Linked DNA regions of Rattus norvegicus. The protein of the gene in region 1 purifies or fractionates together with the protein of each later gene. This does not show direct contact. Links are inferred from orthologs where the notes say so. Each region holds a gene or a part of one and is shown in the gene's direction. Other genes may lie near its edges.

What was found.
Region 2: the proteins of Ptp4a2 (region 1) and Cnnm4 purify together in Homo sapiens (affinity purification with mass spectrometry; 6 studies listed by BioGRID and IntAct, counting the BioPlex papers as one, with this or other methods). This does not show direct contact. The link is inferred for Rattus norvegicus from reciprocal best matches to the Homo sapiens genes PTP4A2 and CNNM4.
Region 3: the proteins of Ptp4a2 (region 1) and Cnnm2 purify together in Homo sapiens (affinity purification with mass spectrometry; 4 studies listed by BioGRID and IntAct, counting the BioPlex papers as one, with this or other methods). This does not show direct contact. The link is inferred for Rattus norvegicus from reciprocal best matches to the Homo sapiens genes PTP4A2 and CNNM2.
Region 4: the proteins of Ptp4a2 (region 1) and Rabggtb purify together in Homo sapiens (affinity purification with mass spectrometry; 3 studies listed by BioGRID and IntAct, counting the BioPlex papers as one, with this or other methods). This does not show direct contact. The link is inferred for Rattus norvegicus from reciprocal best matches to the Homo sapiens genes PTP4A2 and RABGGTB.

Annotation. Positions count from the first base shown.
Region 1 is NC_086023.1:147,464,131-147,468,459, forward strand, and holds the start of Ptp4a2 (protein tyrosine phosphatase type IVA 2), read left to right. Parts: upstream 1-1,483; 5' UTR 1,484-1,894; coding exon 1,895-1,990; intron 1,991-4,329.
Region 2 is NC_086027.1:46,206,289-46,210,533, forward strand, and holds the start of Cnnm4 (metal transporter CNNM4 precursor), read left to right. Parts: upstream 1-1,415; coding exon 1,416-2,811; intron 2,812-4,245. UniProt on the Homo sapiens protein: Probable metal transporter. The interaction with the metal ion chaperone COX11 suggests that it may play a role in sensory neuron functions. May play a role in biomineralization and retinal function.
Region 3 is NC_086019.1:255,583,911-255,587,982, forward strand, and holds the start of Cnnm2 (metal transporter CNNM2), read left to right. Parts: upstream 1-1,241; 5' UTR 1,242-1,350; coding exon 1,351-2,971; intron 2,972-4,072.
Region 4 is NC_086020.1:245,507,940-245,512,125, reverse strand, and holds the start of Rabggtb (geranylgeranyl transferase type-2 subunit beta), read left to right. Parts: upstream 1-1,346; 5' UTR 1,347-1,362; coding exon 1,363-1,365; exon of another isoform or gene 1,366-1,385; intron 1,386-2,094; exon of another isoform or gene 2,095-2,174; intron 2,175-2,275; coding exon 2,276-2,383; intron 2,384-2,609; exon of another isoform or gene 2,610-2,690; intron 2,691-3,328; coding exon 3,329-3,526; intron 3,527-3,605; exon of another isoform or gene 3,606-3,676; intron 3,677-3,885; coding exon 3,886-3,991; intron 3,992-4,103; exon of another isoform or gene 4,104-4,186. UniProt on the Homo sapiens protein: Catalyzes the transfer of a geranylgeranyl moiety from geranylgeranyl diphosphate to both cysteines of Rab proteins with the C-terminal sequence -XXCC, -XCXC and -CCXX, such as RAB1A, RAB3A, RAB5A and RAB7A.

The DNA of each region.
Region 1 (4,329 bases):
TCCTTTGCAAGAGTAGTTTACCCTCTCAACCATGAAATCATCTTTTAGCCCTAAAATTATTGTTTTTTTGGTTTTTTTTTTCTTTTTTCTTTTTTTCGGAGCTGGGGACCGAACCCAGGGCCTTGCGCTTGCTAGGCAAGTGCTCTACCGCTGAGCTAAATCCCCAATCCCATAATTATTGTTTCTTAGGGTCTTACTATATAGCCCTGGCTGGCATAGAACTTCTATGTAAACTAAGGTGGCTTCAAACATACAGAACTCCATCAGCTTCTGCTGTTTCTGCTTCCCAAGAGCCGAGATTAAAGGTGTATGTCACTAAGTCCACATTTAAAAAAAAATCCCTTAAATTATTTTTGATAGAACTTCTCACCGTATAGCTGTGTAGACAGAGTTGGCCTAAGAATTGTCATTTCCCTGTATGAACATCTTGAGTGCTGAGACTACAGCTATGCCTGGCTGATTTTGTGCTCTTGAGGCAGTGACAAAAAGGAAAACCTGGACCAGAAGAGCATTTATGTGTGCGTGAGCTGAGCCCGTAGACAGTGGGGATACATTAAAAAACAAACCACATGGCCCAGTTAATTTACTATGTGACTCAAGGCAAATCCTTTAACTTATAACAGCTCTTGTGTGCATGTAGACCAGGCTTGCCCTAAACTTGAATTTCTGATCTTCCTGCTTCTACCGTTCAGGTGCTAGGATTACTGGGTATGTGCCACACACCCATTTATGAGGTGCTGCCAGTCGAATTAATTAGACTTGTATGTTAGGCAAGCACTCCAACTGAGCTATACCTCCAGACCTGAAATAAAAAATTTAGCTGTGCTTAATGGATTAATATCATAATTGGGGAGCCAGTTCATATTTTAATATAATCAAATTTTTGAAGTAAAGTTATGTTAATTATCCTCAGCCTATTTACAAATGAATACCCTGTTTTAAACAGAATACATGTGAAAGAGCAAGTTACCAAAGCAGACAAATGCAGTCGCTTTGTGAGTTGAAGAGTTAAAAAGAGTCCATGGAAAGACATTTTCTTCAAGTACCCTTAATTTATTGGATGAATTTTTAAGATCTCAAGACAATGAAAAATGAGTTAGACATGATTATTGTAAGACCTGTGTTTAAGACCTTGTTATGTATGTCCCCCTTATCCCAATCTTTAAAGGTGTCGATAATTTAGCATTTGTTACATTTTACCTATTTTGGTCTCTTAGAGAATCTGTTCTTTCTGAAGGCTTCATGTTTATTCCGTTCTGTTATTCACTTCATTTTACCTGTTTTTTTCCCCCCCAGGTTTTTCGTTGGAATATACGTTGCACATTTATGGCGATTCTGAGCGTGAGGGCAGACTTCTGCCAGGCTCAGCACAGCCTTTTCGCTGACAAGTGAGCTTGGGGTTCTATGTGCCATAATTAACATTGCCTTGAAGACTCTGGACACCGAGACTGGCCTCAGAAGTAGTAGGCTTTTTTTTTTTTTTAAATTGCAAGCGTATTCTTTTAATGACTCCAGTAAAATTAAGCATCAAGTAAACAAAAGTGGAAAAGAACCTACACTTTTAACTTGTCTCACTAGTGCCTAAATGTAGTTTAAAGGCTGCTTAAATTTTGTGTGTAGTTGGATTTTTTGGAAGCTGAAGGTATCCATCTGCAGACATTGAGGCCCAAGTTGAATTTGGATTCAAGTGGATTCTTAACACTTCTGCCTGTGCTGAAGAGAAGCTTCATAAGGAACAAGCAAGTTGAATAGAGAAGATAGTGATCAATAAGAGGCATTTAGTGGTCTTTTTAATGTTTTCTGCTGCGAAACATTTCAAGATTTATTGATTTCCTCCTCCCCCATTCCCCCCACCACACTCACACACGCACGCTCACACTTTTTATTTGCCATAATGAACCGTCCAGCCCCTGTGGAGATCTCGTACGAGAACATGCGTTTTCTGATAACTCACAACCCAACCAATGCGACTCTCAACAAGTTCACCGAGGTAAGGTGGTGGCAGGGTCGACTTCCGGGTCAGCTTTTCTTAACTACGAAGGTTTAGCCTTTCATAGTTTACGTTGGGTTGAATTGTTACAATTTTGGAAGAATATGGAATTTGGAGATACTGTAGATTATCTAGTACTTCTAATTGTGTGTTCTTTCTGTGTTTATTAGCAGTATTTTTGCCATTTTTCAGTAAACTCAACATTTATTGACCACAGTATGTACTCAGCATTGCAGTAAGCACTGAATACTGTTTGTAAGGTCCAGGTACGACTATGAGACCACGGGTGCTATTGTTTTCTCCTTCTAGACGGAGCACCACTCAGCTTCAAAAGTCATTGTATGGGTAGAACTAGTACCTTAAGCCTGTCATGCATCCTAGTGCACATGTTAAGGGGTGAGCAAGATGGGTAAAGGAGCTTGTTGTCATGACAACCTAGATTCTATCCTTGGGAATATGAGAACTGATTCCTCCAGGTTGTCCTCTGACTTCTGCACATTGCCATAACACACATGTATGTCCCATATGCCCTAAATCAACGTGTAGTAATTAAAAACAATAAACTGATGTCATACTTCAACCACAAACTGCTTAGTAACAGCAGTTATTACAAGTACAGGAATCCAGAAACTTGGGGAAGGAAGTGGTCATGAGTAGTAAACATGGAGCCTCCTTTTTTCCTTTTTTCCTCCTTATGCAATGGAGAAAGTCTTTACTCTTCAGGGGAGATTTAAATATAAAGTCTTTAATCTTGTATAGATGATAGCATCAAATGTGAGTTCAGTTGATGTGTTGTGGAGTGGAGAGCAGCTGGAGGACCAGTCAGCCAGGGACTCTTGGTTATGGGTGGCAAAGCTGAGACCAAGTAGTTTTACCAATAAAAATTATAACAATATTTTGATGAGAAATAACCATGAAACTCATGTTAGCTCCCCACCCCCTATTTTTGTGGCTGGAAATGGAGCTCAGGGCCTCATGCATGTCAAGAGGGACAGTGCCACGAGCTGTGTCTCCAGCCCTTCTGTATTTACTTTCTATGTGAAGCACTCACAAAATTTCCCAGCCTGGCCTTAATCTAATTCTGTAGCTCAGATGATCCTTGTGGTCCTTCTGTTTAACCATCTAAGTAGAGATGACAAGTCTGTGCCACTAGAAATACTTATTTTTAAAATTCTAGCTGGGAGCTGGTGAGATGGTTCAGTGGGTAAAGGTCCTCACTACCAAAGCTGCTGACCTAAGCTCAACCCCAAAACCCATGTGGTAGAAGGAGAGACCGGAGATTGGAGTATTGTTCACAAGCACAGGCACAAAAATGAACAAATGTAAATAATTGTTTGTTAGGGTCTCACTGTATGGCCCTGTCTGCCTGCCTTTGTGTCTGGAGAGCCGCTCCTGGCCTGTATTCTGTTTAAAGGAATAACTGGCTATAATTGTGTACTAGCTCTTTTTTTTTTTTTTTTTTTTTTTTTTGTGGTTCTTTTTTTCCCCCCGGAGCTGGGACCGAACCCAGGGCCTTGCGCTTCCTAGGCAAGCGCTCTGCCACTGAGCTAAATCCCCAACCCCATGTACTAGCTCTTTTAAAATTACTTTTCCCCCCAATTTCAAAATTAAACTTTTGCTCTTTAGAAAAGCAATAGATGATTATCGCATAAAAATTAAAGCAGCCAGCCAGTGGAGGCACACACCTTTAAATCCTAGCCCTGGGGAGGCAGAGGCTGATCTCTGAATTCCAGGCCAGCCTGATCTTCAGAGCTAGTTCTAGGATACCCAGGGCTACACAAAGAAATACTGTCTTGGGGGGAAATAGAGAAGGCAAAATAAGAAGTAGGCATTAACCCAATAATTGGGAGTCGGGGACAGGTAGGTGGATCTCTGTAAATTCAAGGCAAGCCTGGTCTACAAATCAAGTTTCAGGACAGTCAGGGCTGTTAAACAGACACCCTATCTTGAAAATAGACAGCAAAATAACAGAAATTATAAAAACATTGAATTGTTAAATACCTTAGGCTTCTAGGTTTTGTTTCCCACATGTGTGTATATTCAGAAATACACATATGAGATCATACTACACATTTAAAACGGTTCCACCAGTCTCTTTTGTGTTACTTTTGTAGCCATCATAGAATTCACCGTATAGGTGTGCCATCCCTCTTTGGGAACGCTAATAGACAGTATTTATACCTTTCAGCATTCTGTTCTGTCTATGGTGAAGATGCTGTCCTGACCTTAGTACCTGCTTTCTGTGAAGTCCCAAGAATACAACTTCTAGGTCATTGTATATATGAACTTTTTTTTTTTTTCTTTCTTTTTTTCGGAGCTGGGGACCAAACCCAGCGCTC
Region 2 (4,245 bases), on another chromosome or scaffold:
GGGCTGACCAGGAAGCAGTGATCTCAAGGCTAGAACAGCAGCCACACCTCTCGGTTCATTTCCACAAGCAGCTGCCTCAGCTGGCCAGTCACCACAATTTGGGGTTAAGGGTACGGTTCTGAAAGAGCAGGCAGCAATGACTATTACTACACAGGCAAAGACTATTCACAGAGAGTTGTCATGTCATGTTTGATGTGTAAGCCAATTGTTCTCACTTGCTTTAGCCAGGTGATGCTGTGTTATCACTCTTCCTGCCATCAAATTAAAAACTGAACCCATAGCTGAACAATCAAATCAACCCAGGCATGGTGGTGCATGCCTGTAAACCCTGCACTTGGGAGTCTATGGATGGAGGATCGGGGAGTTCACGGTAGCCTTAGATTTGAAGAGTTCAAAGCCATATTGGGCTATGTAAGATCTTGTCTCAATAGTCATTCTTACCGCCGTTTACAGACAGGAACTAGGATTAACGGTGGAGATCTGAAAGGCCTAAGATTTGTGCCTAGGTTCAAATCTGTAAGATATAAAATACTTCACGTGGCCAGAAGGATTCAATAACTGTTCCTGTGTGTATTTGTTTATTGAGCTCCCCCTCCCGCCACCACCACCACCCCCCGCCCCGTATAGCTATACTTGCTTATTGCCATTTTTTCTGATGCTAGGCTGTAAACTAAGGTGTGCAAGAATTTTGGCGTGTTCGTTGCCTTATTGTTAGAGTCTGCAAGTATACATATTCAATGAAAACATCCCTAAATAGAAATGACAGGTGAAAAACCTAGCTCAGAGCCTGAATCCTCAGCACCTTAGGGGGCTGGTGGTCTCCAGACAGAAGCGACCGGTGGGCTGGGGGAGTTCGGGGGCAGAGACAATCTATTTCTGGCCTTGGGTCAAGGCCAGCAAAAATACCAGAAGTGAGGAGGCTGTAATGCCAGCCTGAGCCCTCAGGTTCCCTTTTCTTTTTCTAAACCAGGAAATGGCATGCTTTTTTCTCGCTGTGCTTGTGGAGAAGCACACCCGCCCTAGAACGGAGCAACAGAGTGCAGGGGACCCGGAAGCAGCCAGGCGCGTGAGGCCTGGGAGCCGGGCTCCCTAAGGAGGAGCTCGGGAGAAGCCGCGCGCGGCGCGGAGGCTGGGCTGGGCGCACCCCCGCCGCAGGCTCCCGCGCTCGCCTCGCGCCGTTCCACCTTAAGCGCTCAGACCTCCTTAAGCCCGGAGCGCGAGCCCTGGGTAGGGGCGGGACCTCGCATGCAAATAAGGGGCGTGGGGCGGCGGGGCGGGGCGGGCGGGGCGCGGTCTGACGTCAGGCCCTCTCCTGGGGCAGTTGGCGCGGCGGCGGCGGAGCGGCAGGAGGGCAGGAGCGGCGGCGCCGAGTGAGGCGCGCGGCGGGGCGCGGGCAGCGGCGGGGCCGGAGCAACATGGCGCCGGGGGGCGGGGGCGGGCGGCGGGACGGCTGGCCGGCCCGAGGGCGCCTCCTCCTGGCCGCGCTGCTGCTGCTGCTATGGACGCGGGCGGCCAGCGGCCAGAGCAGCCCCCAGCAGAGCGTGATCCTAGGCATGAGGCTGGCGAGCTGCAACAAGTCGTGCGGGATGAACCCGGATGGCATCATCTTCGTGTCCGAGGGCAGCACGGTGAACTTGAGGCTCTACGGCCACAGACTGGGCGAGATCTCTAGCAACCTGATCTCCTTCACCGAGGTGGACGACGCCGAGACGGTCCACAACTCCACCAACTGCCTGGAGCTCACCAAGGACTTAGTGGTCCAGCGGCTGGTCAACGTGAGCCGCGGGAACACGTCGGGGATGCTAGTGGTGATTACCAAGTTCCTGCGGAGGAGTGAGAACATGAAGCTGTACGCGCTGTGCACCCGGACCCGGGCCGACGGGCCCTGGCTCAAATGGACGGACAAGGACTCCCTGCTCTTCATGGTGGAGGAGCATGGGAGGTTTCTGCCGCTCTGGCTGCACATCCTTCTTGTTTTGGTGCTGTTGGTGCTGTCGGGCATCTTTTCTGGCCTCAACTTGGGGCTTATGGCCCTGGACCCGATGGAGTTGCGCATCGTGCAGAACTGTGGAACTGAGAAGGAGAGAAGGTACGCTCGCAAGATAGAGCCCATCAGGCGCAAGGGCAACTACCTGCTCTGCTCGCTGCTCCTGGGGAATGTGCTAGTCAACACCTCCCTCACCATCCTTCTAGACAACCTCATCGGTTCTGGCATCATGGCAGTGGCCTCCTCCACCATTGGCATTGTCATCTTTGGGGAGATCTTACCTCAAGCCCTGTGCTCCAGGCATGGGCTGGCTGTGGGTGCCAACACTATTGTTCTCACCAAAATCTTTATGTTACTCACTTTCCCCCTGAGTTTCCCCATTAGCAAACTCCTGGACTTCGTCTTGGGTCAGGAGATTCGCACTGTTTACAATCGGGAGAAACTGATGGAGATGTTGAAGGTGACAGAGCCCTATAATGACCTGGTGAAGGAGGAGTTAAACATGATCCAGGGTGCTCTGGAACTAAGGACCAAAACTGTGGAGGATATCATGACCCAGCTACACGACTGCTTCATGATCCGCAGTGATGCCATTCTGGACTTCAACACCATGTCGGAGATTATGGAGAGTGGCTATACTCGCATTCCTGTGTTTGAAGATGAGCAGTCCAATATCGTAGATATCCTTTACGTCAAAGACCTGGCTTTTGTTGACCCAGATGACTGCACCCCGCTCAAGACGATCACTCGCTTCTACAACCACCCGGTCCATTTTGTTTTTCATGACACCAAGCTGGATGCCATGCTGGAGGAATTCAAGAAGGGTAAGGACTGGGGTGGCTCCTGGTTAAATGTCCTTTTGATATCTCCCCCCACCACTTTCCCTGAAGCATCTCCTGCGTGCTCTCTGTTTTCTGTTTCACTCTTCTGTTTGTGCAATTGACTCTGGGTCCCTCTGTCCATCATTTCCTGTACCTCTGGGGTGAACGTTATCACAGGCGCAGCAGAAGCAGCTCTCACTGTGCTCTGTGTTTAGTTGAATCCAAGCTGAAGGAGACACACTTGTCTGGAGCTGCGGGAGGGATACAGGGTAAGGCTCGTGGCTGAAAAGCAGCCACCAGGCCTCATGGAGACGTAAAGGGTGGTGAGGGGAAGTAGTCTGGGAGCTGAGGATGTTGTCACAGGGGAAAACATTTGAGGGGAATCTTGACTGATGAAGTGACTTGGGACTGGGTTGCACCGCTCTTGTGAGGATTGTTTTGTGGTTCTAGTGGACCTCCTGGCTCTTCTGACCCATGACCACCAGGGGACAGCTTGGATATTTTCACACTTTCCCCCTCGAGTTTGCCCCAGGTTTGGAGCTCTAGATTTTGTGGCAGCGTAGTATCACTCACCCTCCAGCCCACAAGCAAAATTGGGAGGTCTCTCCTGGGCTCCCAACTCGGAACTCCCACAGTTTCTGCTGTTTAGCAGAAGCATGGAGGGAGAGCTTTGGTTACTGCTCCATCTTTCCCAAGAGTCAAACATAAACTTGCCCCCACTCCCAGTCTTCAGGTGGCCTTGCTGTGTGTGTGTGTGTGTGTGTATGTGATGTGTGTGTGTGTGCTTGGCTAGCTCCCCCGTAAGTAGGCACTTAAGAGGGTCTACTCCCTTGCCTCCAAGCTCAGGGCACACACCATTTTCCTTATTGCCAGCAAAGACTTCCTCCCTCTTCTGCCCCGAAACTCCCAAAAGTGGCTGTAAACAAGGCAGCTCTAGAGTAAAACTCTCCTAGGGTGAAGGAGGTGAGGAGGAAGAAAGGGAACTCTGTAGAGGAGACCCTGAAGCTCATATGACTTTGCTTCACAGTCCTGGTCCCAACCTTCCTCCTGTACATAGAGCTGTTTCTGGCTAAGGCTCGGCTGACCCGGGAGCCACATTTGAACACTAGTTGTGATAAGCCCGGGGTCATTTCCGAATCCGGAAGGTGGTAGACAGGCTTGAAATGGGATCAGGAGAGAAGAAATGGCCTTACCAGGTTTGATCTTCAAAGGCGCACTTGGGTCAGGGTCACGGCCAAGGAGGCAGGTTGGCAACTCTCCCTTTTAAGTTTTCTACAGAGATCCTCAGCATCAGAGCCAAGGGCATCTTGAGGATGGTGACCAGGACAGGAGATAGTCTGGATGGCATGGAAGGAGAGTTAGTGCTGTAGACCCAGGAGCCTGTTTCGCTCTGAGTAGGAGCAGTGGGGAGTGTGTCTCCTCCCTCCATCTTGCAGC
Region 3 (4,072 bases), on another chromosome or scaffold:
AAAAAATACTTAGGGTATTGACAAAGAGGAAGGCTATTGTGATTACGGAATACAAAGTAAGACCAGGAAAACATTTTTTTTTTAAAACGCGCTTCAGTTGTGAGGCAGAAAGTTCAATTTGGGAGCTGCTGTGCTACCGCATCTACTCTGAAGATTTGAGAGTCTTGGCAATCTGTGCTCCAGAATCTATCTTCTCTGGAGCTAACAGCATTTGGCCAGTGCATTTCAGAGGAAGCTTTCAGGGGCCTTCTTAGGAAGCTCTCCCCTTCCTGTTTCCCAAAATTGCCAGGGTGCACGTTAAACCAAACCAAACCAAACCAAACCAAACCAAAAACAGGACCCATCTCATTCTGTGATTATAGCACGACTACAGGAGAATTCCTGTGATTACAAAGTTTGGGAAGCTGACCACACACACTTTGAGGGGTTTGCTGAGAGCTAGCAAACATCAAAGGTCGCCCGTGAGGGCCGGCAGGTGGCGCCACATGATCGTGAGCAGTTGAGGGCGCTCAGAGGCGCGGAGATCGCAGAAAGTCCTCAGCGTTGCTAGGGCCACCCTGTCACCGCGAATCTCCAGAGGAGTTGCAAGCAGGAGTAGTGGGCTGGGGGCTTGACTAGTATCCCTATTTGGTTTTAGGCTGTGTGCACCGTAAGTTGTCTCCAGTCGGCTCTGGTGCTCCCAGGGAAGGAGGGCTCAGCCCTTTCTGCGCTGACACGGAGCCCTGTGGAGCCCGCAAGGCCCTGCAGCAAGGACTTGAGGCCTCGCGCCTCAGGGCAGTATTGCAGGGCTGCCAAGCCCGCGCGCGAGGATCTACTACAGAGACCCCACAGGGAGCGCCGCACCCGCGGACCGCTCCTTTTCATTGGTTGACTGGAGGAAGACCACGCCCCCATCCCTACAGTGCTCATCTTTGACTGGCTCTTGCGTCTGGGATGGCCACGCCCCCTCCCCTCGCATACACAAGAGTCACGCGCCTTTCAGTTGGAAACTTGGCATGCTGAGGAGGACAGTGGCCCTCTTCTCCCCGCCCACCTCCCGTGCCATTGGTGCGGCACGCCGACTGCGACCACGCCCCCATTCCAGCCCCCTGGCTGGGAAGGCGGGCACCCGCTCTTGATTGGTTGGCAGACCTGCCTCTCGCGGGAGAGGCTAGCACGCCCCTCCCTCCCCTCCCTCCTCCCTCGAGCCCGGGGGTTCCTCAGCTGGCTCAGTCCGAATCAGTGTCATTCAGAGAGAAGGACAGCTGAGGGCTGGGCGCGAACGCGCGGTTGCAGTCCCGCTCGGGCGCCGGTGCCTGCGCTCGCGCCGCCGGGTGGGAAGGATGAAGCCTCAGCTGGAGCAGCCACCCTATGATTGGCTGTGGAGCTTGTGAACCCGAAGTAAAGATGGCGGGCGGGCAGGCAGCCGCCGCACTGCCCACTTGGAAGATGGCGGCGCGCCGCAGCCTCAGTGCCCGCGGCCGGGGGGTCCTGCAGGCAGCTGCGGGCCGGCTGCTGCCGCTGCTACTGCTGAGCTGCTGCTGCAGCGCGGGCGGCTGCACAGCGGCCGGCGAGAACGAGGAGACTGTGATCATCGGACTGCGGCTGGAGGATACGAACGACGTGTCGTTCATGGAAGGGGGTGCTCTGCGGGTGAGCGAGCGGACCCGGGTCAAGCTGCGGGTGTACGGGCAGAACATCAACAACGAGACATGGTCCCGCATCGCCTTCACTGAGCACGAGCGGCGCCGGCACACACCCGGCGAGCGTGGGCTGGGGGGCCCCGCGCCTCCGGAGCCGGACAGTGGCCCCCAGCGCTGCGGCATCCGCACCTCAGACATCATCATCTTGCCCCACATCATTCTCAATCGCCGCACATCGGGCATCATTGAGATCGAGATCAAACCGCTGCGCAAGATGGAGAAGAGCAAGTCTTATTACCTGTGCACGTCTCTCTCCACGCCCGCATTGGGCGCCGGCGGCTCCGGGTCTGCGAGTGGCACCGTCGGGGGCAAGGGTGGCGCGGGGGTGGCTGGACTCCCGCCTCCTCCCTGGGCCGAGACCACCTGGATTTACCACGACGGTGAGGACACCAAGATGATAGTGGGCGAGGAGAAGAAGTTCTTGCTGCCCTTCTGGCTGCAAGTGATCTTCATCTCGCTGCTGCTGTGCCTGTCCGGCATGTTCAGCGGCCTCAACCTGGGGCTCATGGCTCTGGACCCGATGGAGCTGCGCATCGTGCAAAACTGCGGCACGGAGAAAGAGAAGAATTATGCCAAGCGCATCGAGCCGGTGCGCAGGCAGGGCAACTACCTGCTGTGCTCGCTGCTGCTGGGAAACGTACTAGTCAACACCACGCTCACCATCCTGCTCGACGACATTGCGGGCTCAGGCCTTGTGGCGGTGGTGGTCTCCACCATTGGCATCGTCATCTTCGGAGAAATCGTGCCCCAAGCCATTTGCTCCCGACACGGCCTGGCGGTAGGGGCCAATACCATCTTCCTCACCAAGTTTTTCATGATGATGACCTTCCCCGCTTCTTACCCGGTTAGCAAACTGCTGGACTGCGTCCTGGGCCAGGAGATAGGCACTGTCTATAACCGGGAAAAACTGCTAGAGATGCTCCGGGTTACTGACCCCTACAACGACCTCGTTAAGGAGGAGCTGAACATCATCCAAGGGGCGCTGGAGCTCCGCACCAAGACGGTGGAGGACGTGATGACTCCCCTCAGGGACTGCTTCATGATCACCGGCGAGGCTATCCTGGACTTCAACACCATGTCTGAGATCATGGAGAGTGGCTACACTCGAATCCCAGTGTTCGAGGGAGAACGGTCCAACATCGTGGATCTGCTCTTTGTCAAAGACTTGGCCTTCGTGGATCCAGATGACTGTACTCCCTTGAAAACCATCACCAAATTTTACAACCACCCTTTGCACTTTGTTTTCAATGACACCAAGTTGGACGCTATGCTGGAAGAATTTAAGAAAGGTGGGCAATTTTGCTAATTTTTTAATTGGCTTTGCTCTTTCTGTCTCCATCCTCCTCCCTCCTTGAGTCCTCTACCCCCAGACCAACCCCCCAAGGAGAGTTGACCGGAATTTCTCCCTTCCTTAATTGCAAAGTTGAAAGGATGGCATGGACTTGGGGACGGATTGAACTAGTGAGCACTTCTAGGTTTAAAAGCCCGAGACTGTCATTGCTTTTTCACATCATCCAAAAACAGGCTTTGTAATTTCAGTGCTTGAAACTTGACCCTCTAGGGGCCTCTTGAGGGATCTGCTTCATTCATTGTCTGGGTCCTGAATAGGTAGGTGAATGTACAGATGGGCTCCCTAGATGCCCTTGGGTTACATCTGATCACAGACGTTTGGAAAATATTTAAGTAGCCTTAAAAAGCCCAGTGTAATCCTTTTTTCCTTCCTTAAACACCCATGCTGACATCTCAAAGATTGGAAGTATATTTTTGTCCTTGAATATCTGGCATCCTACAGGGTAGACTGAGGTCTTTGAGGGTGGATCGGGGTAAAGAACGTACCATTCTAAATCCTTGCATTATTTGGATATGACTTCTCAGGCTGGGAAATGGGGTTTGTTTTGTATAAAGCAAACTTAGTTATTAATATATAACTTGGAAAGGTTAGCGGTAAGTTAACTTTTTATGAGGCTATAACTGTCTTCTTCATTGTTTCTGCTTATCTGACAGCAAGTACAATTCCCTAATGCAAGTGTGGTTTGGCAGCAAGCTTGAACCTGTAATAGTGGGATGCATACCATTCTTAATTATGATTTATTTCTTAATTTTTTTAAAGTGTTCTTCTTTTAACCTTGATCTCTTGATATGTTAACATGAAGTATGTCTCCAGGCTCTAAGGTATTAGTCAGGAAGAGGCAAAGGCCCAGTGTCCGCCATGTGGGCACTCACAGCACATCATTTTTTTGCACTGTGGTGTTGCCTGTCTTATTTTGTCATAAATAGGGGAATAGCAACCAGCGCTATTATTACTGAGACTTTGAAAGTTGCCAGTAAATAGCTGGTGTTGTTGAAAACCAAGGGATGCTGAGTCTTGTCACTGGCGCTTGGCATGCACC
Region 4 (4,186 bases), on another chromosome or scaffold:
GGGCTGCCTGTATGACCATGGGGTTGGAGCAGTCCACCGATGCCTGGTCAGCTTACCAGCAGGCACACGTCTGAATAATGACTCCCCATTTCCCAGTGTGTGTCTGTACCCATTAGGTCAGCAGAGAGGGGCAGGGCCCCTGAGTCCCTTCCTCATCCGTGACTGTCCGTCAGGGTCATTTGTGTGAAGCTCAGTGCAGATAAACACAGTGGCTCTGAGTTCAAGGCTGCAGTGGTTGTCATGCTCAGAAGATGGCTTCTGGGCCTTTTCCTATTATCTTCTCTTATATTCTTTCTGCTGCCCTCTTTTATGATAGTCACTAGGCTTTTAGAGGTCATCCCTCAACTAATGTATTCTCCAGATAACCTTGGGCAGTCGTGAATCTCTGTATTCACTGTCGTCCCCTGCATAGAAAGGCTTATCTGATTTGGGCTGAGAGTAGCGTTTTCTACGGGCATAAGCATAGATATTCAGAAGGCAGTCAACAAACAAACTTCAAAATGAGAAGCTTGGCACACAATTTGTATTTTATGACTACAGCATTTTTCAGTTTAGACTGGCCACATTCAAATCCCTGACGTGGCTGTATCTGACATCTTGGCTTTGGAGAGATAGAAGAATTTATAGACCTGTTTTATTGCAGCAACAGTTCTTTGGGGTCGGGAGGCATATTTTAGTCTTTGAAGAGGCAAAGTGGACTGGGGAGATAGCATGCCTAGCATTTTCAGTTGTGAGTTCAAGGCTTGGGGCTTTTAAAATAAATATTAAAAGTTAGAGTTAAACCATACAAATTTACCAATACAGAGTGGAAAAACTAGCCTTATTCTAGCGGTTTCTGGAATCAAACCCAAGCATCCATTTTCACATGGTATTTTTCCATAGTAATATATGTGGCAATATATTTTTCATTAGCTGGGTAACAGACACACTAAAATTGATCAATTTTATGGGGAGTAGGTAGGGACCTCTAGCTCAGGATGGCTTCCAAGTGCCTACACGGCCGATGATTTGGACCACTGATCCTCCTGCCACCACTTTTCCACTGCTAAGATAATAGGTCTGCACTAACACTTCGGGTTTATACGCAAAGGTTGAAATCAACCCCCGGCCTCTTTGAGTGCTAGGAAAGCTCTTTACAAACTGAGTGACATGGGGTCCTTCAGGCAGACGCATAGCCTGCTGCACCGTGACCGCGGAGTCCTTCAGGCAGGAGTGCGGCCGGCTAAATCGTGACCGCGGGGTCCTTCGGGCGGAGCGTGGCCGGCTAGGTAGGGCGTGGGCTGCCGGGCGGGCGCCTGTGCGCAGGCGCGCAGACCCTGACTTTCCGTGCTCCCGCGCTCTTCAGTCTTTCGGCGGTCGGACATGGTGAGAGCGACATCGCTTTGGTGCGCGGAAGTTGGGGAGGCCTGGGCGGTGGGTCAAGCTGCTCCGCATCGTGGGCTGGCGCAGCACGGGGAGCGGGCGGGCATGCAAGGCTAGCATTCTTCTTGCATTCTTCTTGTGAGCTCTCAGCAATGCTCCTGCCTCGGCCTTCTGAGGCCGGTCTTAGACCGCTCCTTGAGCAATGGCTCAGCGTTTTCTGCAGTTCTCGAGGGTTGTGATGTTATCCGCGGCCCGTAGGCGAGCCTCTCTGGATTGAGCCGCCTTTTTTTTTTTTCCCTTTGCATCGGAGACTTGTGTGTGCCTGTTTTTTTCAGGGTTCAATGATCATTTACGAATATTGTTTCAAAGTTAAATATTCTAATTGGGATGGAAGAAGGCCGGCCTTGGCCCACGCCTTTTAATCGTATCACTCCTGAAGCAGTAGCAGGCAGCCTGGTCTACACGGGGAGTTCCAGACCACACAGGGCTTCATAGCCGAGACTCTGAACAAAATAGAAAAATAACTTATTTGGCAGTGGATTTGCTTTGACCTACTTAATGGGTGATGGCGAATATCTTAGATCCGAAGGTGAAATTTGGAGCTAATGGGCCTGATCGTTTAGTAAAGGAGATAATATTTGAGGACTGTTGAACAGTGCACTGAAGCTTCAAATTCACCGATCGAGAGTGTGTATTGCACTTGGTCGGCAAAAAGGTGAGCGGCAGAATTCGGGTCAATGATGAGCTGGCATGTATTCTGAATCTAAAGTTGATTAATAACCACTTTAGCTCTAGAATTACTCTGAGACCCGAAAAAAAAAGTGCCGTCATCTGGTCATACGAGTCTGGGCTGTCAAGTTTTCAGGATGTCGAAAGGAAAACGTAATGATCCAGTCTCTGTTTTTCTTCGAAGGGCACACAGCAGAAGGACGTCACCATCAAGTCAGATGCGCCTGACACCCTGCTGCTCGAGAAGCATGCTGATTATATCGCCTCGTACGGCTCAAAGAAAGATGATTATGTGTGTATGAGTTTCTTGTTAGTTTAATACTAATGGACAGGCCTGTTTCTTAAAGCGTTGTCTGTTGGCAGAGGCCTGATTTAAAGTCCATTAGGATAGATGGGCCTGGTATACTAGAGGTTGATACTGGATAGCATTAGCCTTGCATACCGGTACACAAAGGGCCAGAATACAGGGATGCAGGTAGAAGGGGTTTACTCCTTTCTGTCTGGGGTATAACCTTGAAGGTCAATGATGTGTTGGCATGTATTATCTGAATTTGCTGATGTGTCCTAACATTTGAGCTCTAGAATTACGCTGAGACCTTGAAAAGGTTTTACCTAAACAGTATAATAGGGAGGTTACCACACCCCTGTGATAATCTCCAGCAAGGGGTAGAGCTGGAAACCCCGGGCTTTGTGGGGAGACCCTCTCCAAAGAGGAATCACATGGGTAATCAGACCCTTATTTTGGGAGGGGGGGAATCATAGGCCTAAATGGTCCTTATGTCAACTGTCCGCCTGGCCCTTTAGGCGTTTGGTTTGGCTTGGCAGCACACCAATGACACCTGTACCTGAGTGAACGCTTGTGAAATGATGCTTGATTTGGTTTCCATCTCCAGCACCATTTATCTCTCCGTATTCATAGACCTTGTAAAATGCAGTAATTGGTGTTTGGTAGACTGAAGGAGTGAATGTTGCCTACTAAATTCACCTGAAGTTGGCACTTGGAAACTATTAAAGTTTGTTCTCAATCTTCCTGATGCTGCAACCCTGTCGTACCATACAGTTCTGCATGTTGTGGTGAGCCCCAACCATAAGATAGTTTCATTAGTTCAAGACTTAATTTTGCTGTAATGTCGGACCCAAAGGGGTGAGAACCGATGCTCTTAAAGTTGTTCACAGCTGACCTAGGTAAAGGTGGGTTTTGTAGTCAAGAGTGACAAATTTAAGACACTTCTCCCAGGAATACTGCATGTCCGAATACTTGAGAATGAGCGGCGTCTACTGGGGCCTGACAGTGATGGACCTCATGGGGCAGCTTCATCGGATGAATAAAGAGGAGATACTGGTGTTTATCAAGTCGTGCCAGCATGAGTGTGGGGGAGTCAGTGCCAGCATCGGGCACGACCCCCACCTTCTCTACACGCTCAGTGCTGTCCAGGTAAGCCCTTGTGAAACATTGACCCTATGTGACGACCCAAATGTTAATTGCCCGCCTTTAGAGTGAATTCTCTCCTACAGGTCAGTGATGTCATGGCATGTATTAGCTGAATGCTAACTTGATGCAAGTTACAAATGGCACTGAGACCTGGGAGGGTAAAATGCATCTGTGTCAGTCCAGGTTAGAGTTGGTTTTAGTGAGGAGCGAGAGGGCGGGTAAAGCCTACCTCTGTCAAATTATCAAAGGAATAAGAAATTGTAATGAAATGAGTAACAGCCGGCGCGTGTGAGCCATTTATAGTAATGGGGAAGGGCATGGTGGTTGGCCCAGGACAAATTCCTGCGATGCTTGTCTTTCAGATTCTCACTCTGTATGATAGCATCCATGTAATCAACGTAGACAAAGTGGTAGCCTATGTTCAGAGTCTACAGAAAGAAGATGGTTCCTTTGCTGGAGACATCTGGGGTAAGATCGGCTTTCACTTTTTTTAGTCAAGCTACTCCACTCGGAGCATCTTTTGTCTTGGTGTAGTAATCATAAGATTTCAAGTTGTTCATCTTTTCAGGTCCCACTAAGCAGTTGGTCTAACTGGAGTAAAATGGCCTGCTGGAAGTCCCAGCATGCCCCGTGCTGGCTTGTCAGCACGCCACACTAAAAGAT